Linked DNA regions of Anolis sagrei. The protein of the gene in region 1 purifies or fractionates together with the protein of each later gene. This does not show direct contact. Links are inferred from orthologs where the notes say so. Each region holds a gene or a part of one and is shown in the gene's direction. Other genes may lie near its edges. The genes, in order: CUL2, UBXN7, ARIH1 and COPS8.

Region 1 (7,763 bases):
CGCTGCTGGTAAGTACCATGAGGTCAAGTGTGTCATGAGACAGTTCTCTCAACGCAAAAATCAAAATTAACTGTTACTGCTGGGTAATAGTTGCTTACAGTTTTGTAGTCTCTTCACATTTAGTGGATTAAATGGCTTACTTTCACAACTGTAGCTTGAGATTTTAAAAAAATCAAAATAGGGACAAATCAAGAGCGATCTGTTTTGGCCTTTGATTTGTGCCTATTGCCATTCATTTTTTAAAAAAATCTGACTCTCCTGGGCACAATACAAGCAGTTTTTTCAGTCCAGTTCAGTCTCAAGACACAGGATGCACCTATACTGTAGAATTAATGCTGTTTGAGAAATCATAACTGCCATGGCTTAATTTTGTGGAATCCTGGGAGATGTAGTTTGGTTAAATACACACTCTTTGGCAGGGAAGGCTAAAAACCTTGAATCATCCTCTCAAAATGTGGCAGGGGTGCAACTTTCGAATAAATAAAGACTATGGGAGCATTTACACTGTAGAATTCATGCAGTCTGACACAAATGTAAGTGTCATGGCTCAATGCCAAACAACGCCAAGAATACTATAGAAACCAGCCTAAGAAAGACTATAGTTTTGTCACTGCCCTACATTTTCTATACTTTTTTAATCTCAAGAACACTTAGTTTTCTCACTTCTGAAATGCAGTGGATTTCCAAAAGATTGGAAACTAATTTGCTGATATTGAGGAACAAGATTTCCTGTGTTGAGGACTGATTTTTAAAGGAGTTAGAGTTGTATAGAAGGTGTGTTAGGTTGCCACCTAGTGGTATTTTTGTTTTGACTCCTTTAAAAGTATTTTCGCGATTGCCTTCTTGGACGTAATACTTTCTAGACATGTAGGACTACAAATCCCAATCCAACAACTAAGGAATATGGGAGGTATAGTCCAATGCTTCTGGAAAATGCTACCTTGGGAAAGGCTAAACTGAAGCATAGATTTGTTTGGGAAAGGTGAATAAAGAATAGTTCATTTGTTCCAGAAAAAAGAGTTTTTGTTGACTAATAATAATAATGGTGCTCCATGCAGTCATGCTGGCCACATGACCTTTGAGGGTGTCTGTGGACAACTCCAGCTCTTCAGCTTCGAAATGGAGATGAACACCACCACCCGGAGTCAGACATGACTTGACTTAATGTCAGGAGAAACCTTTACCTAATAGTAACAATGTGGCTACGAGAATCCAGTGGTGAATATTAAGTGCAGAATTCTTTATTTATCTGTATGAGGACACAAAGAAGGATGCAGAAAAAAAGAATGTAAAAAAATTCTTCTTGTGTCTACAATTTTGACTATATTCAATTTTCAACAACATTTATTAAACCAAGCTTTTGAAGTTACAGATGTTCTTAGTCTTAAGATTCTGAGAAGGTCCTTTCTTGCCTCTGAAGAATCAAATGTTCTAGACATTAGAACCATATTCTTCAATATCAGTTTGAAACGGCATTAAATGGTAAGTGCAGATGGCCCCTTAGTGAGGACTCCAACCCACCCAGTAGTCAGATACTCAGAAGGCTTTCTTACGACAAAATCAGATATGGGACAGCTGCGGTAGCATAGTGGTCTGCATGTTGGACTAGGACACTGGCAGACCAGGGTTTGAATCTATTGTGAGAATCCCATAACCCGCCCTGCTAGACAAAAATGGCCTTATTAAGCCAGAAGCTCGCTGGACCCTACCCTGCCCCATTGACATCAGCGCTAGCATTGCACATGGTGGGTTTGAAACAAGTTCCTACTGATAAGAACTAGACAAAAGGAGGGTGCAGAGTAGAGGATACAGACCTTGATGTGAAATTGCCTGATTGTCTTAACCAACTCAGTCTGACAGTGATGGAGAGAAGCCCCAAAAGGGTGGCACAACCCTGTGAAACTATAAAAGCAAATGAACTATCACTGCTTGGGATATTGCCATTTTGGAGGCAACACTGGGAAAGTGAAAAGGAGAAACGCACCAAGAGGAAGGTGAGTCAAGTCAAGTAAACCTTTGTTCTGACTGCTTTCCATCTGGAAACCCATATCCTCAATGTGAAAGACTGTGTGGATTCAGAAAAGTTCACAGTCATTTATGGACCCACTTCCAAGACTCTTCATCTGGAAAACAATCGGTCAGGATGGATAATAATTTAATAATAATTTCTTACCCGCAAACCACAGACCACCTATTTAAATGCAGCCTAAGCCCTGCCACATTCACAATGGAGCATCTTTTTATAGCAACACCAGAGGACTGCAAGTGGCCAGCTACTAGTCAATGGACATTTAATAGAATGCCAAGTTTTTAAAACTTTGCCTTCAAAATGACGGTACCCCAAGCAGTGAAAGTTCATTTGCTTTCTCAAATACATTGGTTCGCTCCTGATACGATAAATAAATACCCACCTCTCCTCATGGCTCAAGGCAGGTTACAAAACAATTAAAATACATAAATGCAGCAAAACACTACAAATACACACAATAAAATGTACCTCCATAAAAGTTGCTTATGATGGTTTCATGAAGATATTATTATTATTATTATTGTTATTAATAATAATATCTTCATGAAACCATCATGAAACCATCTTCATGAAACCTTCATGAAACTGCCAAAATAGAATGGGGCTGCATTTCATCTAGGGCCTACCTTTACTATGAACTATCCCTCCACCGTCCCCAAAGCAACACGAGGCCTTCTGAATCTTGCTATAAATGCATATGAGCCTAGCCATACAGATTAATAAGGCATTTTACCTCCCTCCTGAAGGCATCAGATCCCTTCCGATATTGGAAACTGAGCAGGGCCAATCTTCATAACTATGTTGATAGGACAGGGTTTTTTTTCTGTGTCCTGAGCAACTTGAGAATTTGCAAGTGAGAGAATTGGCCGTCTGCAAGGACATTGCCCAGGGGACACCTGGATGTTTTGATGTTTTACCATCCATGTGGGAGGGTACTCTCATGTCCCCACATTGAGAGCTGGAGCTGATAGAGGGAACTCAACCTGCTCTCCCTGGATTTGAACCTCCAACCTGTCGGTCTTCAGTCCTGCCGGCACAAGAGTTTAACCCATTGTACTCCCAGGGGCTTCATGGGACAGGGTATATTTTGGAGAAAAGAAGTGACAGCAAAAGTATGATAGCTGGGACTCAACGCTACCCTAGTTACATAACACGGCTCTGAATTAAGGAAGGGAAGAGGTGCACAAGACAGCAGAGCGAGTGAGAGACGCAGCTGCGTCAGAGTCCTGGGAACTTTGCTCGCCAGAAAGGCGGAGAGGAAACATTTCTACCCCGTTTACCATCTTCGTAAGCCATTGTTTATAATTTAACAGTAAATAACTCTAAGGTACTTCACTCGCCTTAAGCAGTATGCTTGGCTGTTTGTTGTCCCCCACCCATCTTTTCTGACCCGCTTTGTGCATGTCTTCCCTTCATTAATTCTGCCCCGCATTGCGCAACCAGCGAAGGTTTCCAACTACTACTGTAGAATCCCAGCTGTCATACTTTTGCCGGTGACAATCTTTTCTTGCATAGGAGCTTCAGGGAGCTGTAGTAGGCTGTTAGGAATGGTGGGAGTTGAAGTCCAAAACACCTGGAGGGCCCAAGTTTGCTCATGCCTACCCTATAGACCATAAATAAAGTATTATTATTATTATTATAGGAAAACTCACAATTTAAATTCATGGGAATTTATTTGTCGTGTCAGAGCAGCCAGTCCATTATATTACATTTCTAACAGAACAAAGCAAACAAACAGAAAAATACACAACTTGTGAGTTTGGTAGCTGGTTAAATGTCCTTTGACCAGTATCTGGCCACTTGGAGTGCTTCTGGTGTTGCTGCAAGAAGGTCCTCCATTGTGCATGTGGCTGGGCTCAGGTTGCATTGCAGCAGGTGGTCAGTGGTTTGCTCTTCTCCACACTCGCATGTCGAGGATTCTACTTTGTAGCTCCATTTCTGAAGGTTGGCTCTGCATCTCGTGGTGCCAGAGCGCAGTCTGTTCAATGCCTTCCAAGTCGCCCAGTCGCCCAATCCCATGAATTGCTGGTCGCTTCTGGCCACAGATGCGACCAGCAATTCATGGGAATGCCATACGCCGACACAACCCCCTGAAGACACAACCAATAAAGAACAACACCCACAAAACAGGGAATTCCAGACAGGAAACATTCAGGGCCAGCTAACACCTCCCAACAAAGGATCCCCCAGGCTTTGAAGCTGCAATGCTATTCAATACTAATCAAGGTGGACAATTGCAACATTCACACTTGCCTCAAGCAGACAAGAGTTTTCTTCCATCCTGGACATCCCACAGATAGATAATCCTCACTTGCCTAGTTTCCAACAGACTTCACACCCTCTGAGGATGCCTGCCATAGATGTGGGCGAAACGTCAGGAGAGAATGTTTCTGCGACATGGCCAGACAGTCCTGAAAACTGACAGCCACCCAGTGATTCCGGCCATGAAATCCTTCGACCACACAGGCCATTCGGGGAAGCCTAAGGGCTGCGGCCTCTCCTCTCCCTCTCAGTCCCTCCTCGTGTCTTCAAAGGCCTCTCCTCCATCCTCCTCGCTCCCTTCGACGTCGACAAACCTCCACATTTCACCTCCATTCAATAACAATCTTCTCCGTCTCCCGTTACATTGAGAAAGCCGAAGAAGCCTTCAGCGCATGCGCACTCCCCTCCCCTTTCCATCCGAAGGAAGCTCTCACTTATTTATTTAATTTGCCGGAGCGGAAGTGGGCCAGCAGGTTGGCCCTCGGCGCTTTCCGTAGTTCAGGAAGTACCAATTCTCTTCATGCTCGGCGGGGGAGGAAGGCCAAGGCGTGCACCTCTTCTCACGGAGCCTGACCTAGTCGACTTAGATGGAGGCTGTGGCGCGTCCAGAATAGAAGTCTTGAGAGGGAGAGAAGGAGAGAAGGCCGGCTCCTTGTCGGCTGCCAGAACTCCCGCCTTCCCTCCCTCTTTTCCTCGCCTGCTTCGCGGTTGCGCCGGGCTGCTGGGAAGGCAGTGGGCGGGGTCAACGGGCAGCCGTGGCGGCTGGGTAATGGCAGCCCAGTGAAGAGGCTTCGGGGCGGCCAGAGAGAGAGAGACAGAGAGAGAGACGGCGGAGGGGGAGGACGGGGAGACGACGCGGGCCCGGGCCTCTCCTGTTGCCAGGTAACCCCGCGAAGGAAGGAAGGAGGGGAGGGACCCCGCCTTCTGACCCCCCCTCCCTCCCTCCCCACACCCCTTGGCCGCCTCTTCCTCCTCCTCTGGGGCGCCCCGTGCATTCTTTCCCTGCAACACCATGGCCCGACTTTGGCCTCCTCCCCCTCTCACTATATCTCTCTACTATAGTAGATCTGGGCAAACTTGGGCCCTCCAGGTGTTTTGGACTTCAACTCCCACCATTCCTAACAGCCTACTACAGCTCCCAGAAGCCTCCAGCCTGCCAGGGGCTTCTGGGAGCTGTAGTAGGCTGTTAGGAATGGTGGGAGTTGAAGTCCAAAATACCCAAGTTTGCCCAGGCCTACCCTATAGACCAGTGGTTCTCAACCTAGGGGTTGCGGGGGTGGGGGGTGGGGGGGTTGTCAGAGGAGTCGCCAAAGACCTTCAGAAAACACAGTATTTTCTGTAGGTCGAGGGGGTTCTGCATGGGAAGTTTGGGCCAATTGTATCGTTGGTGGGGTTCAGAATTCTCTTTGATTGTAGGTGAACTATAAACCCCAGCAACTGCAGACAAGGGTTCTTTCTCCCACCCTGGACATTCCACAGATATATAAACACCACTTGTCTATTATATATTATTATTTATTAACTTTATTTGTACCCCGCTAGCATCTCCCGAAGGACTCGATGCGGCTTACATAGGCCAAGGCCTCAAAACTCAACATAACAATACAACACCTAAAGCAAATTAAAAACAGTTAAAGCAATATTAACAACAAGCAATAAACAATACATCAAGACACTATAAAACTGGGCCGGGCCAGAGTAATGGGTACAAGATTAAAAGTGCTGATGTGACAGGAGGTATGTGGGATTATAGGGTAAGTGCAGTGTGCAGCAATCTTAGTTCTACTAAAGTGCTTCTGGGACTTCGTATTGGAGATTTCTAATCTGGAAAGGCACATCGGAACAGCCAGGTCTTCAAGTTCTTTCTAAAGACTGCCAATGTAGGGGCCTGTCTAAGATCTTTTGAAAGGGTGTTCCACAGTTGGGGGGCCACCCAAACTTGTCTAGTTTCCAACAAACCTCACAAACTTTGAGGATGCTTTATTGTGTATTATTTTGATATGTTTTACTCACTTGAGGCATTGAATGCTTGCCTTTTTGTATGTATAAACTTTATGATGAGAGGGTAGTCTAGAAATAAAGGTTTGATTATTATTATTATAGATGTGGGTGAAACATCAGGAGAGAATGCTTCTGGAACATGGCCATGCATCCTGGAAAACTCACAGCAATCCTTTGCTCTTCTTTTCTCTCTCTGTGTTGCTTGTTGCCTGTCAAAATACTTATAGGTAATACGTTTCATGCACTTTCTTTGCATCGCTGCAGGTTGGGTTCAGACAAAGTTAGGCTCCATTGAAACCAGTGAAACTTCAAAGCTCATCTAGCTTAGTCTGGATTCAGCCTTATGAGTCCAGGCATTTATGAAAATAACTTAGATGTGTTGTAGTCAAGTAGGCTCCTTGTTCTCGCTTCAGAAACCACAAGAAGTCTGTAGTATATATCACTGAACGACTGGAGGAAGGGATGATGCTGTTCAATCCACCATTTCTGGTTTGCTTTCATTTCAGGTCATAAAATGAGATAAAAAGTGATGGTTATAGGAATCCTGGGAGTAGGAAGTACAACTTACTTGTGACCCCATAGCAAACTCATTCAGGTTTGTTCTCTGATACCGTTGAACATAGGACCAGGTTTAAATGGTTTGAAGGTAGGAGAATAGATTTTCATTGAACATTAGAAAAAAGTTCTTAAGAGCTGTCCAGGACTGGAATAATCTACCTAGAAATATGATGGAATCTGTTTCTCTGGGAATCTTCAGAAAGAGACTGGACAAGCTACCTGCTAGAGATGGGAGTTGGTTAGATGCCGTGACTTATGGAGCCCTTCTAGTTCTAATGATTCATTACATTATCTCAGCAAAACAATATAGATGTTTTGCTCTTCAAAACAACTAGCTGCCATTTATTTACAGTTTGTATCTATAATTTGGAACCTTAAAACATCCATAGCATATTTGTTTAATTCAGAGCTCTTTTTGCTTCAAAAAAGAAAATCTACAGAAATTATCTGTAGAGGCCTGAATTAAAGGTATGAACAGCTGTAGCAAACATAATTATTGTATCACCTGTGTGTATTCTAGGTCAGTTCTTCTCAAGAATCCTGGCATGGAAAATCAGCAGTTTTTCCTAGGGGACTGGTATCCTATGTGTGTCCATTAGCTACAATTATGTCTCTCTGTCTTTCTTTCAAATTCACCAAAGACCAGCATTCAGTGACTCAAAATGGCACAAGTACTATCACTTTGAGCTATGCTGTTCTAGGAAACCTCTTTTAGAAAGGCTCTTGGAATGATGTACATACAAAAAGGGGGGGGGGGGGATTCTGACTGCTACATATCATAAGTCAGGAGTGCAATACCTTTATTCCCAGTCACCAACTGGAAACTGTAGTAACAACAACAAAAGTTAAGTTTGTCGCATTATCTTTAACTCTAGGTATTACTCCTTTTAGATTTTGAAATATCTCCATGAAC
Region 2 (7,840 bases), on another chromosome or scaffold:
TAGTGTCACATATAGGGAAGACTGTGAAACTATGTGTCTTTTCTCAAAGAGCGGTATGGCTGGTTATGATGTAAAAAAAGACAATTTTACAGGAAACCTGGATTGGCCAAACCATCCAGGAAATGCTGCTCCCCAGGAAACACTTATTTCTGTAACATCTGATAGCCAGCAAGACTGTAGCATTCCAACTTGCAACCAAGTAACAATGGAAAATAAAAATGAGTCACTAAAACTGATTACTACAGGGATTCCTAAGAGAAAATCTCAAGAATCACCCTCCGAAGCAGTGGTGGATTTGGTTATGAATGATAAAAGAAGAAGAACTTTTGCACAAATAGATGATGAAGATATGTATGATATACAACAACAAATACATTTGGAGCAGAAAATTTATGAAAGATATAAGCAAGAAGAAGAAGATAGACTTCTAGCTCTGAAGCTTCAGAGGGAAGTAGACAAAGAACAGAAAACACTAAACCGCAAAAAAGGCTCTCCAGATGAGTACCATTTACGCCCTAAAACATCTCAGTCCGAAAAGGAATCTCCGGTGCTTAGGAAACCTTGCAAGAATAGCCAGACTGACAGAGAACAACGAAAATTACGAAGAAGCTCTCATAATGAGAACCAGAAGCCCTCTAACAAACTTCAGACAAAGTCATCTCCAAAAGGAGGGAATGTTTTGAACTGTGTCCTTAACAGCCCTGCCTCTAAGAGTTCAGCATTATTGCCAAGCAAACAAAAAACGATCGTTCAGATGTTTAAGAGACCTGCAACCAACTAGCAGATCAATAGTTGATGTGAAGAATTATAGTATAGAAAGGGATTAAACAATGGACTTTGTCTTGAAAAATTGATCAGCTCCTCCCACTTACGTGGTTGAAAACCAGTAGTGCCTGCTCTGTAGCTGTTAGGTATGACTTCTTTTTCCTTCCTAGTACATGTATGGCATTAGGTAATTCTGAATGCCAGGAATATTTGCTTTAAGCTTCATGTACTATACATCTGGTAGTTTAGTGTCAGAATATGTAAACAAAGCAACTCCCTGTTACACCTCTACCTTGTAAATATATCAGAAAAGAGCAAATGGCTTTGATTTAGACTGGAGCATAATTTCTGATGCATTTATAGAAATATACTACCATTCCTGCTGTTTGTTTTGTTTACAAGTTACAAGATTTATATGTTAAATATTCCAGAAATCTTTCTCTATGGATGTTTGCAACAGATTACAAAGATGCCTTCAGGTATTCCCAAGTAGACTAGTTTTTCAGATTCATCAGTTTATAATTTGTTTAGAACATCATCAATTAAAATGACTTTTAAGTCTCTTGAGATTACAAATGTAGTGTCAATGGACTTCTTCTGAATGCATTTTGAAATATCTTTAGAAATTACTGGGAGTCAGAAGCTGTATTTGGATATATACACATAATGAGGTTTCTTGGAGATGATATCCAAGTCTATACACAAAATCATGTATGTCTCTTATACATCATATACCCATAGACTGAAGGTTATTTTATATAATATTTATAATTACTGTATTTCTTCAATTCTAAGATATACTTTTTCTGTGTAAATATCTCTAAAAATAGGGCGTGTCTTAAAATAGCAGGTGTGTATGTTATATATTTTTGTTGGTGGTGGTGCTGGTACTGAAATTAAACTGTGGCTTACACTCAGTGACATCTTACAATTGAAGAAATAGAAAACTTTATACATTAAACAAAATTTGTGTACAGTGAAATATCAGAAAGCAAAGATATTGCACAGTCAAGGCATCCGTGTGGGCCCTTTGGGATCCTGGAATATTTTGAGCATTCTGGAAATGGAATGCTCAAAATTATATTTATTAATTGAAGTACTTCTGCATACCTTTTCAACCCACAAAGTGAACAAATAAAAAGAAATTGGACAATACTGAGATTAAAAAATAAACATGCACTGAAATATTCTTCAACCCCTAAAAGCATGCTAAAATAACTCTGGAATCCATTTTTGAAATGATTAACTATGACTTTTTGACACTGAATACCATGTGGAACCAGTTTTTGTCTGTCTACTGCAGTGGTTCCCAACTTTTTTTTTTAACTAGGGACCACTCTCCAACGTTAGTATCAAAAGGGTTACTAATCAGTTTTTGATCAACTTTAGATTCGGTTTGGTTATTTGGGGTGCCAGTTCAGAAAATTGCATTGGATAGACCACATCTGCTCTAGTATCTGATACAGAACATACACCCAGTAGTCTCCATCTGCTTGCCCACAGAAAACCATATTTAATAATCTAGAGCTGATGTGGTAGTAGTAATTTTTTGTGGGTAGTCAGCCTCTCCCCTGTCAACATCCCCATTGCCTCACCATGAGACCAGTCACTCTCGTTGCCACGTGGTTTCAAGGCAATAGTGTAGTAATGGTGAGGCAGCTGATCATATTTTCATTCTTGCGGGCCACAGGTTGGGAACAACTAGTCTACCCGAAAGAAGTGAAGTCAGCCAAACTTCCTTGGGTAGGCAGCTCCCTAGTAGAGGTGCTGCCATAGGGAAATCCTTTACATGTAACCACCAACCTTGTGAATACAAACAGGATGTCTTCCAAAAATCTCAAATTTCTGGAAAAATCATAAGGCTAGAGATCTGCTATATCGGGGGGGGGGGGGCATTGTCTGCCCTCACAGGATTGTTGTCAGCTCCCTCACTAAAAACACCAAGCAAAGTGGACTTGCACTTGTTTCACACTCCACAAGTATAGCACTACAGGCCCTTTTTATTTGCTATGGCTGCTTCCAAAGAATCCAGGCATTTGTAGTTCGGCGTAGCTCTAGAATTCTCTTAAAAGAAAACTTGAAATACACCTCAAAATTCCAAATGTCACAGGTCCATAGAATGGAGCCAGGGGAGTGAAAGTGGCATCATAGTGCTATAACTAGTGTAAAAGATAACTTGAAGTCTTCAGATCAGCGCATTTTCCCAATTGGGTGTCCCTGAATGACAAGAATACGAACAACCTTTTTCAGTGGAACATGAAGAGAACAACAACTGTACACTCAATTTGATCCTTTCCACATCTGAATTATCAGATCACCAGCCTTGAAATCATCTACACCAGGCATGGGCAAACTTGGGCCTTCAGGTGTTTTGGACTTCAACTCCCATAATTCCGAACAGCTTCAGGCCCCTTCCTTTCCCCCTATATCTCATTAAATACATGACACAGTATATAAAATGGTAAAATCAAAGTTTTATTTTTGATTTTTTTAAAAAAAAAATCAAGCCATTGACAGTGGAATACATGGATGTGGAATTTGTGGATATGGAGGACCAGCTGTATATATAAATACAGATATTCCAAAACTCCTGATCCCAATTATTTATTTACTTACTTACTAGTAGTTATTAAAACTAGTAGTTAGGTTTTAATAACTACTTGTATTGGTTTTTAGTTTAGATTTTAAAATTTGTTGATGTTTGAAGTGTATAACCCCATGTTGTGATCTGGTCATTGATCATAATAAACTACTTACTTACTGTATTTATATCCCGCCCTTCTCGACCCTGAAGGGGACTCAAGGCAGCTTACAGTAGAGGCAAAATTCAATGCCTTAAGCAATTCAACAATTAAATATTTTGTTAAAATCTAAACGAGGTTAAAAGCATTTATTTATTTATTTATTTCATACACTTTGACTCCACCCTTCTCCCCCCAAGAGGGGACTCAGGGCAGCCTCACATAAACATTGTATGATGCTATCATCATATAAATAATAAACAATTACAATAAAACATTAAAACAATTCACTAAACAGTAAATTAGTCACGCTAGTTAAAACCAAATCCAAGTCTGGGAATTAAATCAATGTCGTAGTATCCAATTTTTCTTTCCAATTACTGCTGTCCACTAATTGCACGCCTGGTCCCAAAGCAAAGTCTTCAATTTTCTTCTAAAGGACAGGACAATTAAACATAAACAATACCCCTTACAGCTATAGAATCAAAGAGTTGGAAGAGGCCTCATGGGCCATCCAGTCCAACCCCCTGCCAAGAAGCAGGAATACTGCATTCAAATCACCCCTGACAGATGGCCATCCAGCCTCTGTTTAAAAGCTTCAAAAGAAGGAGCCTCCACCACACTCCAGGGCAGAGAGTTCCACTGCTGAACGGCTCTCACAGTCAGGAAGTTTTTCCTCATGTTCAGATGGAATCCCCTCTCTTGTAGTTTGAAGCCATTGTTCCGCGTCCTAGTCTCCAAGGAAGCAGAAAACAAGCTTGCTCCCTCCTTCCTATGACTTCCTCTGACGTATTTATACATGGCTATCATATCTCCTCACAGCCTTCTCTTCTTCAGGCTAAACATGCCCAGCTCCTTAAGCCGCTCCTCATAGGGCTTGTTCTTCAGACCCTTTATCATTTTAGTCGCCCTCCTCTGGACACATTCCAGCTTGTAAAATCCAGCTTGTAAAATCACGTTACCCACAATCAAGTATTTTGGATATGAAAAACTCAAACTTTATTTGAGAAACATCAGCTACAAATACCAGTGTACAGCTGAGAAGAAAAAGGAAAGGGCCTGAGGCTGTTAGGGATTGTGGGAGCTGAAGTCCAAAACACCTGGAGGAAGGCCCAAGTTTGCCCGTGCCTGCTCTCACGCCTCCTTTTTCTCAGTTTGGGGATTGGGTTCCGCCGGCCACTAGGGGGTGTCACGAGCTGGGAGGACCTGATAGCAAAAAGTTTAGCAAAGAGGGGCGGTGCTTGCGTGCTTTCCTCTTCCGGTGCTCAATACAGCCTGATGTTGAAATTGAAAGCTCGCCGGACGAATCGGGGCGCGGCGTTGTTTGCGCCTGCGCGGTGGGGTCGGCAGGTGGCGGGTCGGTGTTGTTCGGGGGAGAGCGGCGGCAAGATGGCGGCGCCCGGGGGCTCCGCTGCCGCCTCGGCGCTGAAGGGGTTACTCCAGCAATTCACCGCTATCACGGGTGAGCCGCACGAGCTGGGGAGGCCTTTGCGCTTTTGGGGAGCAGAAAGGAGAGAGAGTTTGGGGGAAAGAAAAGAAGGGGGTGGGGGCCCCCTCTCTCTCTCCCTCAATTGGGGCCTTGTGGTAGAAGCCGAGGCGCTGCCGAGTCTAGAGAAGTGCCTGTTGCGTAGGAGGAGCGGGAGGGACATTCCATTGGAGGAAAGGCGGGGCTGTTGTGTTGGAGAGGAAGGCGATGGGCACTCAGGCAGGCCACACACAGGGCAGCGCAGTGGGACAGTCTCCCCTCAAGCCCTGCTCTGTGTTGGGGAGCATCCAGGATGAAGGCAGTTTCACGCCACTTGAACTGTCATGGCTCAACGCTATTGCATTATGGGAGCTGTAGTTTAACAAGGCATTTAGATTTCTCGGTCAGAAAGTGCCGTAAATGAATACAGTTTCACACCACTTATAATGTAATTTCACAAGGCCTTTAGGTATTGTCAGAGAGTGCCATAAATGAATACAGTTTCATGCCACTTGAACTGTCATGGCTCAATGCTGTGGAATCATGGAAGTTGTAGTTTAACAAGGCATTTAGCTTTCTCTGTCAGAAAGTGCCAAAAATGAATGCAGTTTCACGCCACTTGACCTGACATGGCTCTATGCTATGGAATCACGGGAGCTGTAGTTTCACAAGGCCTTTAGGCTTTGTCAGAGAGTGCCATAAATGAATACAATTTCATGCCTCTTGAACTGTCACGGCTCAATGCTATTGCATTATGGGGGGGGGGGGTGTAGTTTAACAAGGCATTTAGCTTTTTCTGTCAGAAAGTGCCATAAATGAATACAATTTCATGCCACTTGAACTGTCATGGCTCAATGCTGTTGCATTATGGGAGTTTAACAAGGCATTTAGATGCTGTGGAATCATGGGAGTTGTAGTTTAACAGGGCATTTAGCTTTCTCTGTCAGAAAGTGCCGTAAATGAATGCAGTTTCACACCACTTGACCTGACATGGCTCCATGCTATGGAAATATGGGAGCTGTAATTTCACAAGGCCTTTAGGTTTTGTCAGAGAGTGCCATAAATGATTACAGTTTGATACCTCTTGAACTCTCATGGCTCAATGCTGTTGCATTATGGGAGTTGTAGTTTAACAAGGCATTTAGATTTCTCGGTCAGAAAGTGCCGTAAATGAATGCAGTTTCACACCACTTGTAATGTAATTTCACAAAATCTTTAGGTATTGTCAGAGAGTGCCATAAATGAATACAGTTTCATGCCACTTGAACTGTCATGGCTCAATGCTGTGGAATCGTGGGAGTTGTAGTTTAACAAGGCATTTAGCTTTTAGATTTCTCTGTCAGAAAGTGCCAGAAATGAATGCAGTTTCACACCACTTGATCCGATATGGCTCTATGCTGTGGAATTATGGGAGCTGTAGTTTCACAAGGCCTTTAGGCTTTGTCGGAGAGTGCCATAAATGAATACAGTTTCATACCACTTGAACTCTCATGGCTCAAGGCTGTTGCATTCTGGGAGTTGTAGTTTAACAAGGCATTTAGATTTCTCTGTCAGAGAGTGCTGCACATGAATGCATTTTCATGCCACTTGAACTGTCATGACTCAAATGCTGTTGCATTATGGGAGTTGTAGTTTAACAAGGCATTTAGATTTCTCTGTCAGAGAATGCAGTACATGAATGCAGTTTCACGCCACTTGAACTATCATGACTCAATGCTGTGGAATCATGGGAGTTGTAGTTTAACAAGGCATTTAGCATTCTCTTTCAGAAAATGCCGTAAATGAATGCAGTTTCACACTACTTGAACTCTCATGGCTCCATGCTATGGAATCATGGGAGTTGTAATTTCACAAGGTCTTTAGACTTCTCTTGTCAGAGAGTGCTGTACATGAATGCGTTTTGATACCACTTCAACTGCCAAGACAATGCTGTAGAATCATGGGAGTTGTAGTTTGGTGAGGCACCAGCATTCTTTAGCATTGATGGCTAAAGACCTTGTGAAACTCCAACTCCCATGATTTCACGGGAGTTTGTCACCAGTTGGCACTTCATAACATAGAAATCATGGGAGTTGTCACCAGTTGGCACTTACGCTATTCTCTCTCTCTCTCTCTTTCTCCCTTTTAATTATTATTATTATTATTATTATCATTATTATTATATTTATTTATATCCTGCTTTATCTCCCCCGAAGGAGACTCAGCATAGGTATTTAAAATACACAAATATACGAACATTAAAACAGCATTAAATATAACTAGTATTTAAAAATTCCCAGTCAAAAATCATTAAAACAAATTCAAAGCCTCCATGCTGAGACAGAGCTTTCCAGACATTTCATGTTGGTAACACATGTTTTAGACATGTATCACTTCATGGCACAGGAATAATAATAGTAGTAGTAGTAGTAGTAGTAGTAATGATAAACTTTATTTATATCCCACCATTATTTCCATGAAGGGATTTGGGGCAGTTTACAAAGGCACTCCAGGGTGCACACAACAGGTAAAAACAGTACATAAGTATAAAACAAGTCACATGAAATTATAACAACAACCCCTGTCAACACAGATAGCATAAAATCAAAATAATACAATTTTTAAAACAACAGATAAAACTAGCTACCATCAATTCACAAAGTACCAAGTCTTAACTTCATATGGGCCCATTCAGCCTACTCGAATTCAAAAGCCTGTTTGAACAGCCATGTTTTCAGGTTGGAACGGAAGGATTGAAGGGTGCGGGCTAATCTAATCTCTTTTGGGAGGGTATTCCAGAGCCGAGGGAGTCACCACCAAGAAGGCCCTCTCTCTTGTCCCCACCAACCGCGCTTGAGATGGTTTTACTAACAAACCAGAAGTTAAACCA
Region 3 (6,999 bases), on another chromosome or scaffold:
TTGGGACTCACATACTATGTGTGTGTGTGAGCATATATATATATACATATATATATATAGAGAGAGAGAAAGCATCAAATAAATAATTGCAACACTCACAAAAATAGAAATATATATATATAGTTTTTCATACATATAGCTTTATATAAATATAAATATGCAATATATTATACATAAACACACATATATACTATACACAACACACACACATATACACATACACAACATATATAGTGCACTGCATATTTATGTCTATATATGTCTCTATATAGACATATATATGAAAAATAATGTGTTTGTGTGTATATATGAGGTGTGTGTTATATACAACATATATATGCATAGATTATGTGTATATATATATATGTATGGTATACTGCATATTTATATTTATATATAGACATATATGAATAACTATGTTTGGTGTTGTGTATGCATATATATATATATGTTGTGTGCATATATAGGTATGTATAGTATACTGTATATTTATATATAGACATAGATATAAATATAAATGTCTATATATAGACATATATATTAAAAACGATGTGTTGTGTGTTTATGTGTGGTATAGGTATGTATATATACACAAAACATATACATACATATACACATAACACAAATATCGTGCTTCTATATATATATAGAATACTGCACTTATATAGACATATATATGAAAAGCTATGTGTTGTGTGTATATGCATATATGTTGACTGTTTATATAGTTATGTATAGTATTTTGCATATTTATATATGTGTATATATGTGATATATGTGTTGTGTATATGTTGTGTGCTCAAGTATATATATCTATATACACAAACATATATACGCACATGAGAAACTAGGCCAACCCGAATTGCCTTCGGGCTGAGAGAGGCGGTATATTATATAGTTTTTCATATATGTCTATATATAAATATAAATATGCAGTATACCATATGTTGTTGTTCATTCGTTCAGTCGTCTCCGACTCTTCGTGATCTCATGGACCAGCCCACGCCAGAGCTCCCTGTTGGCCGTCACCACCCCCAGCTCCTTCAAGGTCAGTCCAGTCACTTCAAGGATGCCATCCATCCATCTTGCCCTTGGTGGGCCCCTCTTCCTTTTGCCTTCCACTTTCCCCAGCATCATTGTCTTCTCCAGGCTTTGCTGTCTCCTCATGATGTGGCCAAAGTACTTCAACTTTGTCTCTAGTATCCTTCCCTCCAGTGAGCAGTCGGGCTTTATTTCCTGGAGGATGGACTGGTTGGATCTTCTCGCAGTCCAAGGCACTCTCAGCACTTTCCTCCAACACCACAGCTCAAAAGCATCGATCTTCCTTCGCTCAGCCTTCCCTAAGGTCCAGCTCTCACATCCGTAGGTGACTACAGGGAATACCATGGCTTTGACTAGGCGGATCTTTGTTGCCAGTCTGATGTCTCTACTCTTTACTATGTTATCGAGACTGGACATTGCTCTCCTCCCAAGAAGTAAGCGTCTTCTGATTTCCTGGCCACAGTCTGCATCTGCAGTAATCTTTGCGCCTAGAAATGGAAAGTCTGTCACGGCCTCCACATTTTCTCCCTCTATTTTCCAGTTGTCAATCATTCTTGTTGCCATAATCTTGGTTTTTTTGATGTTTAGCTGCAACCCGGCTTTTGCGCTTTCTTCTTTCACCTCGATTAGAAGGCTCCTCAACTCCTCCTCGCTTTCGGCCATCAGAGTGGTGTCATCTGCATATCTGAGGTTGTTAATGTTTCTTCCAGCAATTTTCACCCCAGCCTTGCATTCATCAAGCCCCGCACATCGCATGATGTGTTCTGCATACAAGTTAAAAAGGTTGGGTGAGAGGATGCAGCCTTGCCGTACGCCTTTCCCAATCTTGAACCAGTCTGTTGTTCTGTGGTCAGTTCTGACTGTTGCTACTTGGTCCTTGTACAGATTCCTCAGGAGAGAGACAAGGTGGCTTGGGATGCCCATCCCACTAAGAACTTGCCACAATTTATTATGATCCACACAGTCAAAGGCTTTAGAATAGTCAATGAAGCAGAAGTAGATGTTTTTCTGAAACTCCCTGCCTTTCCCCATTATCCAGCGGATATTGGCAATCTGGTCTCTCGTTCCTCTGCCTTTTCTAAACCCAGCTTGAACATCTGGCAACTCTCGCTCCATGTATTGCTGGAGTCTTCCTTGCAGGATCTTGAGCATTACCTTACTGGCATGAGAGATCAGGGCCACTGTACGGAAGTTTGAGCAGTCTTTCGCATTTCCCTTTTTTTGGTATGGGGATATAAGTTGATTTTTTCCAGTCTGATGGCCATTCTTGTGTTTTCCATATTTGCCGGCATATGGCATGCATCACCTTGACAGCATCATCTTTTAAGATTTTAAACAGTTCAGCTGGGATCCCGTCGTCTCCTGCTGCCTTGTTGTTAGCAATGCTTCTTAAGGCCCTTTCAACCTCACTCCTCAGGATGTCTGGTTCTAATTCATTCACCACACCGTCAAAGCTATCCTCGATATTGTTATCCTTCCTATACAGATCTTCTGTATAGTCTCGCCACCTTCTCTTGATCTCTTCAGCTTCTGTTAGGTCCCTGCCATCTTTGTTTCTTATCATACCAATTTTTGCCTAAAATTTACCTCCAATGTTTCTAATTTTCTGGAAAAGAAATTGTCCTTCCTATTCTGTTGTCTTCTTCCACTTCCATGCATTGCTTATTTAAAAATAGTTCCTTATCTCTTCTGGCTAACCTCTGGAATTGCGCATTTAACTGGGCATATCTTCCCTTATCCCTGTTTCCTTTTGCTTTCCTCCTTTCTTGGGCTACTTCCAGTGTCTCAGCAGACAACCATTTTGCCTTCTTTGTTTTCTTTTTCTTTGGGACGTACTTTGTTGCCGCCTCCTGAACAATGTCTCGGACTTCTGTCCATAGTTCTTCTGGGACTCTGTTTACTAAATCTAGTCCTTCAAATCTGTTCTTCACTTCCACTGTATATTCGCTAAGAATGTTAGTAAGATCATATCTAACTGGTCTGTGTATTTTCCCTGATCTCTTTAGTTTTGTTCTAAATTGAGCAATAAGAAGTTCGTGATCTGAGCTACAGTCAGCCCCAGGTCTTGTTTTCACCGACTGGATGGATGTCCGCCACAGTGATCCAAATATACGCCCCAACCACAGCTGCTGAAGAAGCAGAAGTAGATCAGTTCTATGAGGATCTGCAGGACCTACTGGATAATACACCAAAAAGAGACATTACTTTCATTACAGGAGACTGGAATGCCAAGGTGGGAAGTCAAATGACAACAGGGATCACAGGCAAGCATGGTCTGGGAGAACAAAATGAAGCGGGACGCAGGCTGATAGAATTTTGCCAGGAAAACTCGCTGTGTATAACGAATACTCTCTTCCAACAACCTAAAAGACGGCTTTACACCTGGACTTCACCAGACGGTCAACACCGAAATCAGATTGACTACATCCTTTGCAGCCAAAGGTGGCGGACATCCATCTATATACATACAATAAGTATTATATAATATATTATATATATTATATATATGTTATTATATAATATAAAATAATATTATATATAAGTAATAAATATTGTATATACATACAATATATATGTATACACACACACACACACATATATGTATATGCATACAATATATATCTATATACATACAATAAGCCAACTCGGCTGGCCCTTCCCCCATGCCAATTTATAAATGTCATCCCCTTTCGCTGTGCCACACCCAAGATGGTGGGCCGCAGCCACTCCCTTCCTGAGAGTCGGTTGAAGAAGGCGCGCCCTCCGGCTCCACAAGATGGCGGCGGCAAGGCAGGCTGGTGGTTCCCTTTCGTGCCACACTCAAGATGGCTGCCGACGGACTGCGCTTGAGGAGGCGAAAGGGGGCGGGGCGTGTTGCGTTCCCTTCCCGCCCTTCGGCGCGGCGGCGGCGTCGTGACGCCACACGCGGCGTGGGGTTGCGTCCCCGTCCGCGCTGACGTGCGTGCGTGGAGGTGACGGAGCGGGCCGGACGCGTCCCTTTGTTGGCTCAGCGGCGCCTGGCAGAGGAGGAGGCGGCTTTGGGGAATCGCTCCGCCGAAGGAAGGCAGGCAGGCAGGCAGGCAGGAAGGAAGGCGGGCTAGGCCGCAGCCCTCCCTCGCGTCCCTCCCTCCCATCCTCCCGTCAGTCCCTCAGCCGGGGCCTGCCCGGCGCCTTCGCTCCTCCTCCTCGGCCTAGGCCTCAGCGGCCTCCTCCTCCTCCCCTTTCTCGCCGCCACCATGGACTCGGACGAGGGCTACAACTACGAGTTCGACGAGGACGAGGAGTGCAGCGAGGACAGCGGCGCTGAGGAGGACGACGACGACGACGACCCCGACGACGACCCCGACGACGGCAACCTGGACCTGGGCGAGGTGGAGCTGGTCGAGCCCGGCGTGGGCGGAGAGAGGGACGGCCTACTCGGCGGAGAGACCGGCGGGGGAGGCCTCGGGCCCGGAGGAGGGGGAGGCGGCGGCGGAGGAGGAGGAGGCCTCGGGGGAAGCAGCGGCCTGGGCGGGCCCGGCTCCGGAGGGGGACTAGGCCACGACCAGGAGGAGGACTACCGCTACGAGGTGCTCACGGCCGAGCAGATCCTGCAGCACATGGTGGAGTGCATCCGGGAGGTCAACGAGGTCATCCAGGTGCGCGCGCAGGGGCGGGCGGCGGGGGCGCGCTCCCTCGGCGGGAAGGAAGGAGGGATGGAGGGGTGGAAGGAAGGAGGGAGGCCTCCTCCTCCTCCAGGCATGCCTTTCTTCTCCCTCCAACCCTCCCTCCCTTGCTTTCTCTTCACCTTTTCCTGCATCTCTTTCCTATCCTTCTAATTCTTTCCATCCAACTCTTGAATCAGACTGATAGGAATTGTGGGAGTTGTGGTCCAAAACACTTGGTTCCTCCCCCTCCAGGCATGCCTTTCTTCTCCCTTGCTTTCTCAACTCTCCTCTTTCTGCATTCTTTTCCTATCCTTCTAATTCTTTATATCCAACTCTTGAACCAGATTGATAGGAATTGTGGGAGTTGTGACGCTCAACAATTCTTTATTGATTAGTCAATTTTGACCATATCAAAACATACAGAGAATTGTGGGAGTTGTAGTGCAAAACACATGGTACCTTCTCCTCCTGGCACACCTTTCTTCTCCCTCCCTTGCTTTCTCAACTCCCTTCTTTTCTCCTTTTCCTGCATCTCTTTCCTATCCTTCTAATTCTTTATATCCAACTCTTGAACCAGACTGATAGGAATTGTGGGAGTTGTAGTCCAAAACACTTTGTTCCTCCTCCTCCAGGCATTCCTTTCTTCTTCCTCAAACCCTCCCTTGGTTTCTCTACTCTCCTCCTTTTCCTGCATCTCTTTCCTATCCTTCTAATTCTTTATATCCAACTCTTGAACCAGACTGATAGGAATTGTGGGAGTTGTGACACTCAACAATTCTTTATTGATTAGTCAATTTTGACCATATCAAAACATACAGAGAGTTGTGGGAGTTGTAGTCCAAAACACTTGGTACCTCCTCCTGGCACACCTTTCTTCTCCCTCCCATCTTCCCTCACTTTCTCTACTCTCCTCTTTTCTCCTCCTCTTTCTTCATCTCTTTCCTATCCTTCTAATTCTTTATATCCAACTCTTGAACCAGATTGATAGGGTTTGTGGGAGTTGTAGTCCAAAACACTTGGTACCTCCGCCTCCTCCAGGCATGCCTTTCTTCTCCCTCCCACCCTCCCTTGCTTTCTCTACTCTCCGCTTTTCTCGACCTCTTTCTGTATCTCTTTCCTATCCTTCTAGTTCTTTATATCCAACTCTTGAACCAGTCTGATTAGAATTGTGGGAGTTGTAGTCCAAAACACATTTTTTAATTATTATTATTAACTTTATTTGTACCCCGCTAGCATCTCCCGAAGGACTTGATGCGGCTTACAAAGGCCAAGGCCTCAAAACACAACATAACAATACACAACCTAAAGCAAATTAAAAACAGTAAAGCAATATTCAACAACAAGCAATAAGACAATACACCAAGACACAATAAAACTGGGCCAGGCCAGAGTATTGGGTACAGATCAAAAGTGCTGATGTGACAGGTGATATGTAAGGATAATGGGGTAAGTGCAGTGTGCCAGCAATCTTAATTTCTAATAAAGTGCTTCTGGGACTTGTTGGAGGATTGCTATTCTGGAAAGGCACATCGGAACAGCCAGGTCTTCAAGTTCTTTCTAAAGACTGCCAACGTAGGGACCTGTCTAAGATCTTTGGGGAGGGTGTTCCAGAGTTGGGGGGCCACCACGGAAAAGGCCCTGTCTCGCATCCCCACCAGACGCGCCTGCAATGCAGGCGGAATTGCGAGCAGGGCCTCACCAGATGAATGAAGTGAGCGCGTGGGTTCATACACTGAGATGCGGTCACACAGGTAGGATGGTCCCAAACCGTTTAGGGCTTTGTAGGTAAGCACCTGCACCTTAGATTGGGCTCGGAAAATAAACAGCAGCCAGTGGAGCTCCTTGAACAGGAGGGTTGACATGGTACCTCCTCCTCCAGGCACACCTTTCTTCTCCCTCCCATCCTCCCTTGCTTTCTCTACTCTCCTCTTTCCTCCTGTTCTTCCTTCATCTCTTTCCTATAAATCATATAAATCTAATTATTTATATCCCACTCTTAGACCAGACTGATTGGAAATGTGGGAGTTTTAGTCCAAAACACTTGGGTGCCTGTTCGAACCTCTCCCTCACCACCTTCTGTTTCTTTCTCTCCTCCTCTCCTCCTCTTCCTTCATCTCTTTCCTATAAATAATAGAAATCTAATTATTTATATCCCACTCTTAGACCAGACTGATTGGAATTGTGGGAGTTGTAGTCCAAAACACTTGGTGCCTGTTTGAACCTCTCCCTCACCTCCTTCTGTTTCTTTCTCTCCTACTCTCCTCTTTTCTCCTCCTGTTCCCGCATCTCTTTGCTTTCCTTGTAATTATTT
Region 4 (7,815 bases), on another chromosome or scaffold:
AAGTGGCTCCTTATCTTTAAACACCTACCTCTTCCTTTACTTGAAATATTCTTAGAAATGATAGTAGAAAGAGAACCAAGGAGATAAATACAAAGTGTGGATTGAAAAGGCAAAGGCTAACTAAGGGAAAAGGCAGGGATATAACATAAATGAAGAAATAATAAGAAATGACAATGTTTTTAACATGACAATCCATTTATTTTCTTTTCAGCTCCAGTAGCAATTAGGAGTCAAGATGAATTGTCCTTTCCTGCTCGCAGGAGCAGCTCAGCTTTCCAGCACTTTAAGCTACCATTAAAATGACTCTGGAGTTTGTCTATATCTTGCTTGTTGTTATCCACTTCTAATTCATCTGCACCATTAATTAAATGTGATTGAGTAAGTTCAAGTTTTAACAATTCAAACAAGATAAGATTTAAAAAAATCACAGTAGCCCAATATAAGCTTTCATTAATTATGATCACTGGTGTTAGGGGCAATTAAAAGTGGGCATTCCAGCTTGTCAATATCTCTCTTCAATTGTGGTGCCCAGAATTGGACACAATATTCCAGATGTGGTCTAACCAAGGCAGAATAGAGCGTGGGTAGCATGACATCCCTGGATCTAGACACTATACTCCTATTGATGCAGGCCAAAATCCCATTGGCTTTTTTTGCCGCCACATCACATTGTTGGCTCATGTTTATTTATTTATTAATTATTCGAACTTATATACTGCCACTCCCCTGGGGCTCGGAGTGGCTTACAAGAACAGGCTAAAATCTAACACGATTTAAAAACAATTTACAACAATTTAAAAACAGCAATATCAAAAATCAAAGGCCTGTCGAAACAGGTATGTCTTACATGCCCTGCAGAAAGCTGATAAGTCCCTCAAGGCACGGACTTCAGGTGGCAGAGTATTCCAGCGTGATGGTGCCACTGCTGTAAAGGCTCTGCGTCTGGTTACTGTTAGACACAAGGTCTTGACATTGGGAATTTCCAACAAATCTTGGTCCTCAGAATGGAGGGATCTCTGGGGTTGGTAGGGGGTGTGGCGGTTCCTCAGGTACATCAGCCCCCGACCATGCAAGGCCTTAAAGGTAAGTACCATCACTTTGAAAGTGATCCGGTGCTCAATTGGTAACCAATGCAGCTGCAGTAAGATTGGTGTTATGTGGCATCTCATCGGAATTGTTGTCCATGAGAACTCCAAGATCTTTTTCACACATACTGCTCTCAAGCTAGGCGTCCCCCATTCTGTATCTTTGCATTTCATTTTTTCTCCCTAAGTGGAGTATCTTGCATTTGTCCCTGTTGAATTTCATTTTGTTAGTTTTGGCCCATCTCTCTAATCTGTTAAGATCATTTTGAATTCTCCTGTCCTCTGGAGTACTGGCTATCCCTCCCAATTTGGTGTCATCTCAAAACTTAATGATCCTGCCTTCTAACCCTTCGTCTAAGTCATTAATAAAGATGTTGAACAGGGCCCAGGACAGAGCCCTGCTTGTGGCACTTCGCTTGTCACTTCTTTCCAGGATGAAGAGGAAGCATTGGTGAGCACCCTCTGGGTTCGTCCGCTTAACCAATTACTGGTCCACCTCACCGTAGTTTTGCCTAGCCCGCATTGGACTAGTTTGTTTGCCAGAAGGTCATGGGGGACCTTGTCGAAGGCTTTACTGAAATCCAGGTACGCTACATCCATGGCATTCCCCACATCTGCCCAGCTTGTAACTCTATCGAAAAAAGAGATCGGATTAGTCTGGCATGACTTGTTTTTGCTAAATCCGTGTTGACTATTAGTGAACTCTCATGTTTCCACAGCACTGAGCCATGCCAATCAAAGTTGTATCATACAACACTATTATTTGACTGACACAAAAACACAGTATGTCACAGCAAATGAGAGATATATGCTGCATTATTATTATTATTATTATTATTATTATTATTATTATTATTTCTTACCCTCCTCTCCTCATGGCTTGAGGTGGGTTACAACATTGTTAAACCATACTTTCATCTAAAAACATTCTTTAAAATACCCATATTAAAACTTGTCTTAAGAAGGAGCCCCTGGTGGCGCAGTGGGTTCGAATCCGGGGAGAGGCGGATGAGTTCCCTCTATCAGCTCCAGTTTCTCATACGGGGTCATGAGAGAAGCCTCCCACAAGGATGATAAAAACATCAAATCATCCGGGTGTCCTTGAAGACTGACAATTCTCTCACACCAGAAGCGACTTGCAGTTTCTCAAGTCACTCCTGACATGACAAAAAAAAATCAGGTGCCTAAAGCAGATCGCTGTCATTTCCCTGCAACCAGCTCTCCATTTCTCCTTCCTCCAGCTCAACCTCTTCGGCAGGGAGATGGGCGGGAACTAAAGCCGTTGCTGTTGCAGTGGAGGCCTTCCCTTTTGCAACTTTGGGAGCAGGTGATGGTTTTTGGCTGGGGGGTTTATCACCCATGATCAGGCTTGTTCCTTTTGGGCATTCTGCCACCACCGGCCCTCGCACCCACATGTGAAGCATGTCCCTCGCCTTCCCTTCCTCTCTCTGCTCATCGACCAGCCTCTTGGGGAAGGGTGTCACATCCCTCCGGCTTGACCCACCGCTGGATGCCTGGTACGGCCCTCCTCTCTGGAACGACGCGGCATCTGCTCTTTGTTGTATTTCACTCTCCTGGCCAACATAATCCAATTGTCTAAGTTGTCTGGATTGCCAGGATACGGAAGAAAATGTTTTTAAGTACAAGAGGGAACTTTCTTACACAGGATGCTTGTGGTTAACTTCAAATGTTGTTTTTGAAGCGCAGAGGCTGCATATACAAGAAGGTACTTTCCATCAAAAAGTCAAGAGAGGGGGGTGGAAAGGGAGTACTTTTCCATGACAAAAAATGTTCTTGTTTACTTGAGGTTATATATTTGGTGGTCAAAAGCCAAGGGGGCACGGCAGTCATTTGAAGGGTAGCATCTGCGCATGCTGCCCGGCTGTCCGTCTTCTTCATGAAGAAACTAAAATAAAACCTTGTTTTTTAATCTTTCATTGGGACTGTCTTCTTCCTTCCGTGCTCCTGCAACGTGGACCTAAAACGACCCAATTTAGGGTTTCTAACACTACAAAGCGTAGAGCTTTTTCGACCTATGCTCCAATTCTGTGGAACTCATTGCCTCCATACATTAGAGCAATGTCGGAGTTGCGACCTTTTGTAAAGGCACACAAGACTTGGTTGGTTGTGCATTTAAGTAATCAGATCTAATTTGCCAAATAGTCACTGTTGTATGTTTTTATGTTGAATGTTTTTATATTGTGTAAATGCTATTTTAGATTGTAAGTCGCTCGGAGCCCCTTGGTGGAGAACGACTAATTAAGAAATAAAGTGAAGTGAAGTGAAGTCACAGTGAATTCTATAGTACAGGGGTCCTCAAACTAAGGCCTGGGGGCTAAATACGACCCTCCAAGGTCATTTACCTGTTCCTCGCTCAGAGTCAATCTAAGTCTGAAACGACTTGAAAGCACACAATAACAACAATCCTATCTCATCAGCCAAAAGCAGGTCCACACTTCTCATTGAAATACTAATAAGCTTATATTTGTTAAAATTGTTCTTCATTTTAATTATTATATTAATTTTACGTGTTTTTTGCATTACAGTTAATATATGTGCACTGTACATATGAATTCACTCATGTTTTTTTTTTCAAATTATAATCCGGCCCTCCAAGTTTGAGGGACTGAGGGAGACTGAGGGTCTGGAGAACAAGCCTATGAGGAGCGGCTTAAGGAGCTGGGCATGTTTAGCCTGAAGAAGAGAAGGCTGAGAGGAGATATGATAGCCATGTATAAATATGTGAGAGGAAGCCACATGGAGGAGGGAGCAAGCTTGTTTTCTGCTTCCCTGAAGACTAGGACATGAAACAATGGCTTCAAACTACAAGAGAAGAGATTTCATCTGAACATAAGGAAGAACTTCCTGACTGTGAGAGCCGTTCAGCAGTGGAACTCTCTGCCCCGGAGTGTGGTGGAGGCTCCTTCTTTGGAAGCTTTTAAACAGAGGCTGGATAGCCATCTGTCAGGGGTGATTTGAATGCAATATTCCTGCTTCTTGGCAGGGGGTTGGACTGGATGGCCCATGAGGTCTCTTCCAACTCTTTGATTCTATGATTCTATGTGTCCAGAGGAGGGTGACTAAAATGATCAAGGGTCTGGAGAACAAGCCTATGAGGAGCGGCTTGAGGCTCATGTTTAGCCTGAAGAAGAGAAGGCTGAGAGGAGATATGATAGCCATGTATAAATATGTGAGAGGAAGCCACGGGGAGGAGGGAGCAAGCTTGTTTTCTGCTTCCTTGGAGACTAGAACGCGGAACAATGGCTTCAAACTACAAGAGAGGAGATTCCATCTGAACATGAGGAAGAACTTCCTGACTGTGAGAGCCGTTCAGCAGTGGAACTCTCTGCCCCGGAGTGTGGTGGAGGCTCCTTCTTTGGAAGCTTTTAAGCAGAGGCTGGATGGCCATCTGTCAGGGATGCTTTGAATGCAATATTCCTGCTTCTTGGCAGGGGGTTGGACTGGATGGCCCATGAGGTCTCTTCCAACCCTTTGATTCTATGATTCTATGACTGTGACCTGGCCCTCTGTTTAAAAAGTTTGTGGACCCCTGCTATTTTAGATGCACTATCAACCGGCTAAAACTTTAAATGCGGGTCACGCGGCATTCTTCCCTTTTTCTATCTCTATGGTCCTGAGCGTTCTCCTAAAGCGGGACCCGCTCGTCACAAACTGGCGAATCGCTGGAGAGGATTGGGGAGACGTCACCACGGTGAGGCCGGAAGTACGTAGCAGCGTGCGGTGGTCCCACCTCCGTCTCCAGGAAGCACCCGTCTTCCCGCTTCATCGGCGGGAGTGGGACAGGGTGCGAAGATGCCAGTGGCCGTGATGGCGGCGGCGGCGAGTGGCGCCTTCAGCTACCGGAAGCTGCTGGAGCAATGCGAGACTCAGGAGCTGGAGGTCAGGAAGGGAACCGGGCGTGGAATAGGCTTTCCTCGCCTCTCGCTTTCGAGTCTGGGACGGGGCCCTCCTCGTCACCCTCACAAACCCAGGGTTTGACCGTCTCGCCTGAAAGCCGGGGTTTCCCTAGGCCGAAGGAGCAAAGTGGGAATGAATGGGCCGCCCTCACCAGTTCCTCTATGGACACATGCTAGAATGAGTGCGGTTGGCTACCATGGCTTAATTCTGGGACGCATGGAAGTGGTAGTTCTACAAGGCCTTTTAGCCTCCTCTGCCGAGTGTTTCAATAAACTACAAACACTGTGATTCCAGAGCATTCAGCCATGTGGTGTCCCCTTCACTGCTATATAATCCACATTATCAAAGCAGATAGTCCACAATATTTGCTTCGATTATATGAGTCTACATTGCTAAATAATCCAGTTCAAAGAAGATAGTCTGGATTTATATGGTATTTATTTATTATTATTTGTCGTGTCAGTGCAACCAATCAATTATATTACATTTCTAACATAACAAAGCAAACAAACAGACAAAATACAAAATTTGTGAGTTTGGTAGTTGATTAAATGTCCTTTGACCAGTATCTGGCCACTTGAAGTGCTTCTGGTGTTGCTGCAAGAAGGTCCTCCATTGTGCATGTGGCAGGGCTCACGGTGCATCACAGCAGGTGGTCAGTGGTTTGCTCCTCTCCACACTCGCATGTCGTGGATTCCACTTTGTAGCCCCATTTCTGAAGGTTGGTTCTGCATCTCGTGGTGCCAGAGTGCAGTCTGTTCAGCGCCTTCCAAGTCGCCCAGTTTTCTGTGTTCCCAGGGGGGAGTCTCTCATTTGGTATCAGCCATCGGTTGAGGTTCTGGGTTTGAGCCTGCCACTTTTGGACTATCGCTTGCTGAGGTGTTCCAGCGAGTGTCTCTGTAGATCTTGGAAAACTATTTCTTGATTTAAGTCGTTGACGTGCTGGCTGATACCCAAACAGGGGATGAGCTGGAGATGTCTCTGCCTTGGTCCTTTCACTATTGGCTGCTACTTCCCGGCAGATGTCAGGTGGTGCAATACCAGCTAAGCAGTGTAATTTCTCCAGTGGTGTAGGGCGCAGACACCCCATGATAATACGGCATGTCTCATTAAGAGCCACATTTTATATGGTAGTGTATAAACTTTCTCAAACTGCATTCCTTCCACAGTATGGATGCACCTATAGTTTTTAAAACACAGTTGCCGTGATTTCAAAGAAATTCATATGAATGAAGAGCAGCGTTTCTCAAACTAGCTCTGCTCTTCCAGGTCTTTTGGACTTCAGATCTCAAAAATGCTAACAGTTTACCAGCTGTTAGGAATTGTGGGATCTGAAGTCCAAAACATCTGGAGGAATACAGTTTGAGAAACTCAGATTAGAGAAAAACATCTCATGAGATGTGATCTTCTTGGTATTTGTATAGCTGTGCCCTGCCACGCGTTGCTGTGGCCTATAGTAAAACTTATCAAAGTTGAGGTAGATATCTGGACTATTATGAAAGAGAGGTCCCTACCTATTCCTTCCCCCTTTTCCTCCCCCTTTCTCTCCTTTCTTCCTTCTCTACCTCTTTCTTTCTTTCACTACTTGGTTTCATCCTTCTCTCTTTCCTTCATTCCCTCCCCCTTTCTTCCTTTGCCTTTCTTCCCTCCCTGTTTGCTTCCTTCTTTCACTTTTTATTTCCTTTTATTTCACCAGCATCATAACAATAACAATAATGCAATGCATTGCCTCCGGGACCTGACACCTCTCCCATTCCCCCTAAAAGGGTCTCATAGGAATAATAGCATCATAATAATCATAGAAATAACAACCTTTACCCGCCACGTGTTGCTGTGACCAACCTTCCCTCTTTCTCTCCTTCTTTCCCTCCTTCCTTCCTTCCCTCCCATCTTTCCTTCTCCTCTTCCTTCTCTATCTCCTTCCTTCCCCCTTTTTCTTTCTCTTCTGGCCTCTTTCCTTCCTTCTCTCTTTCCTTCTTTCCTTCCCTCCCTCTTTCTCTACATCTTCCCCCTTCCTTCACTCCCTCTTTCCTTCCTTCATTCCCTTTTTTCTTTCCTTCTCTCCTTCCTTCCTTCCCCCTTTTTCTTTCCCTCCCTCTGTCTCTCATTTCTTCCTTCTCTACCTCTTTCCTTCCTTCCCCCTTTTTCTTTCTCTTCTGCTGTCTCTCTTTTCTTTCCTTCCATCTTTCCTTTTCTTCTTCCTTCTTTCTCTAACTTTCCTTCCTTCCCCCTTTTCTTTATCTCCCTTTCTCTTTCTTCCTTCTTTCCTTCCTTCCTGTCTTTCCTGGATTTTGACAGGGCGGGAAGGGGTGCGGTGGGGTTTGGAGGTGGCATGAAGTAAAAGGAGGTAAGATTGGGGCAGGCGAGTGATGGAGCGTGAGGTTGTGTGTGTGTGTGCGGCAGCGGGGGGAGTGATGGAGCGTGGGGTTGCGTGTGTGTGTGCGGCAGCGGGGGGGAGTGGGGTTGCGCGTGTGTGTGTGGCGGTGGGGGAGTGATGGAGCGTGGGGTTGCGTGTGTGTGTGCGGCGGGGGAGTGATGGAGCGTGGGGTTGTGTGTGTGCGTGCGGCGGGGGTGTGTGTGCGGGAAGCGGCGCGGCGGGGCTTGGAGTGGGCATGGCTTCCGCAGAGGGAACTGTGTGCGCGCGCCAGGGAACTTGCGGCTGGGCACCAATGCGCATGCTCAGTTGTTTTGCCATTTTGTGAGTGTGTTGTTGTGTTGTTTTTCATTTTGAGTAGATATGTTTGTACCTTATGGGTTGTGTTATGGGCATGGGAATTTTGGTTAAGTTTCGTTGGGGGGTTTGTGAGTTTTG

Evidence for each region.
Region 2: the proteins of CUL2 (region 1) and UBXN7 purify together in Homo sapiens (affinity purification with mass spectrometry; 6 studies listed by BioGRID and IntAct, with this or other methods). This does not show direct contact. The link is inferred for Anolis sagrei from reciprocal best matches to the Homo sapiens genes CUL2 and UBXN7.
Region 3: the proteins of CUL2 (region 1) and ARIH1 purify together in Homo sapiens (affinity purification with western blotting; 3 studies listed by BioGRID and IntAct, with this or other methods). This does not show direct contact. The link is inferred for Anolis sagrei from reciprocal best matches to the Homo sapiens genes CUL2 and ARIH1.
Region 4: the proteins of CUL2 (region 1) and COPS8 purify together in Homo sapiens (affinity purification with mass spectrometry; 4 studies listed by BioGRID and IntAct, counting the BioPlex papers as one, with this or other methods). This does not show direct contact. The link is inferred for Anolis sagrei from reciprocal best matches to the Homo sapiens genes CUL2 and COPS8.

The regions. Positions count from the first base shown.
Region 1 is NC_090026.1:114,119,539-114,127,301, reverse strand, and holds the start of CUL2 (cullin-2), read left to right. Parts: upstream 1-4,756; 5' UTR 4,757-5,173; intron 5,174-7,763.
Region 2 is NC_090023.1:226,435,267-226,443,106, forward strand, and holds the start of UBXN7 (UBX domain-containing protein 7), read left to right. Parts: upstream 1-4,823; 5' UTR 4,824-4,895; coding exon 4,896-4,968; intron 4,969-7,840. Other genes in the region: E3 ubiquitin-protein ligase RNF168, read left to right, coding at 1-781. UniProt on the Homo sapiens protein: Ubiquitin-binding adapter that links a subset of NEDD8-associated cullin ring ligases (CRLs) to the segregase VCP/p97, to regulate turnover of their ubiquitination substrates.
Region 3 is NC_090029.1:26,571,672-26,578,670, forward strand, and holds the start of ARIH1 (E3 ubiquitin-protein ligase ARIH1), read left to right. Parts: upstream 1-3,979; 5' UTR 3,980-4,277; coding exon 4,278-4,679; intron 4,680-6,999. UniProt on the Homo sapiens protein: E3 ubiquitin-protein ligase, which catalyzes ubiquitination of target proteins together with ubiquitin-conjugating enzyme E2 UBE2L3.
Region 4 is NC_090021.1:163,148,403-163,156,217, forward strand, and holds the start of COPS8 (COP9 signalosome complex subunit 8), read left to right. Parts: upstream 1-4,813; 5' UTR 4,814-4,898; coding exon 4,899-4,985; intron 4,986-5,226; exon of another isoform or gene 5,227-5,433; coding exon of another isoform or gene 5,434-5,436; intron 5,437-7,815. UniProt on the Homo sapiens protein: Component of the COP9 signalosome complex (CSN), a complex involved in various cellular and developmental processes.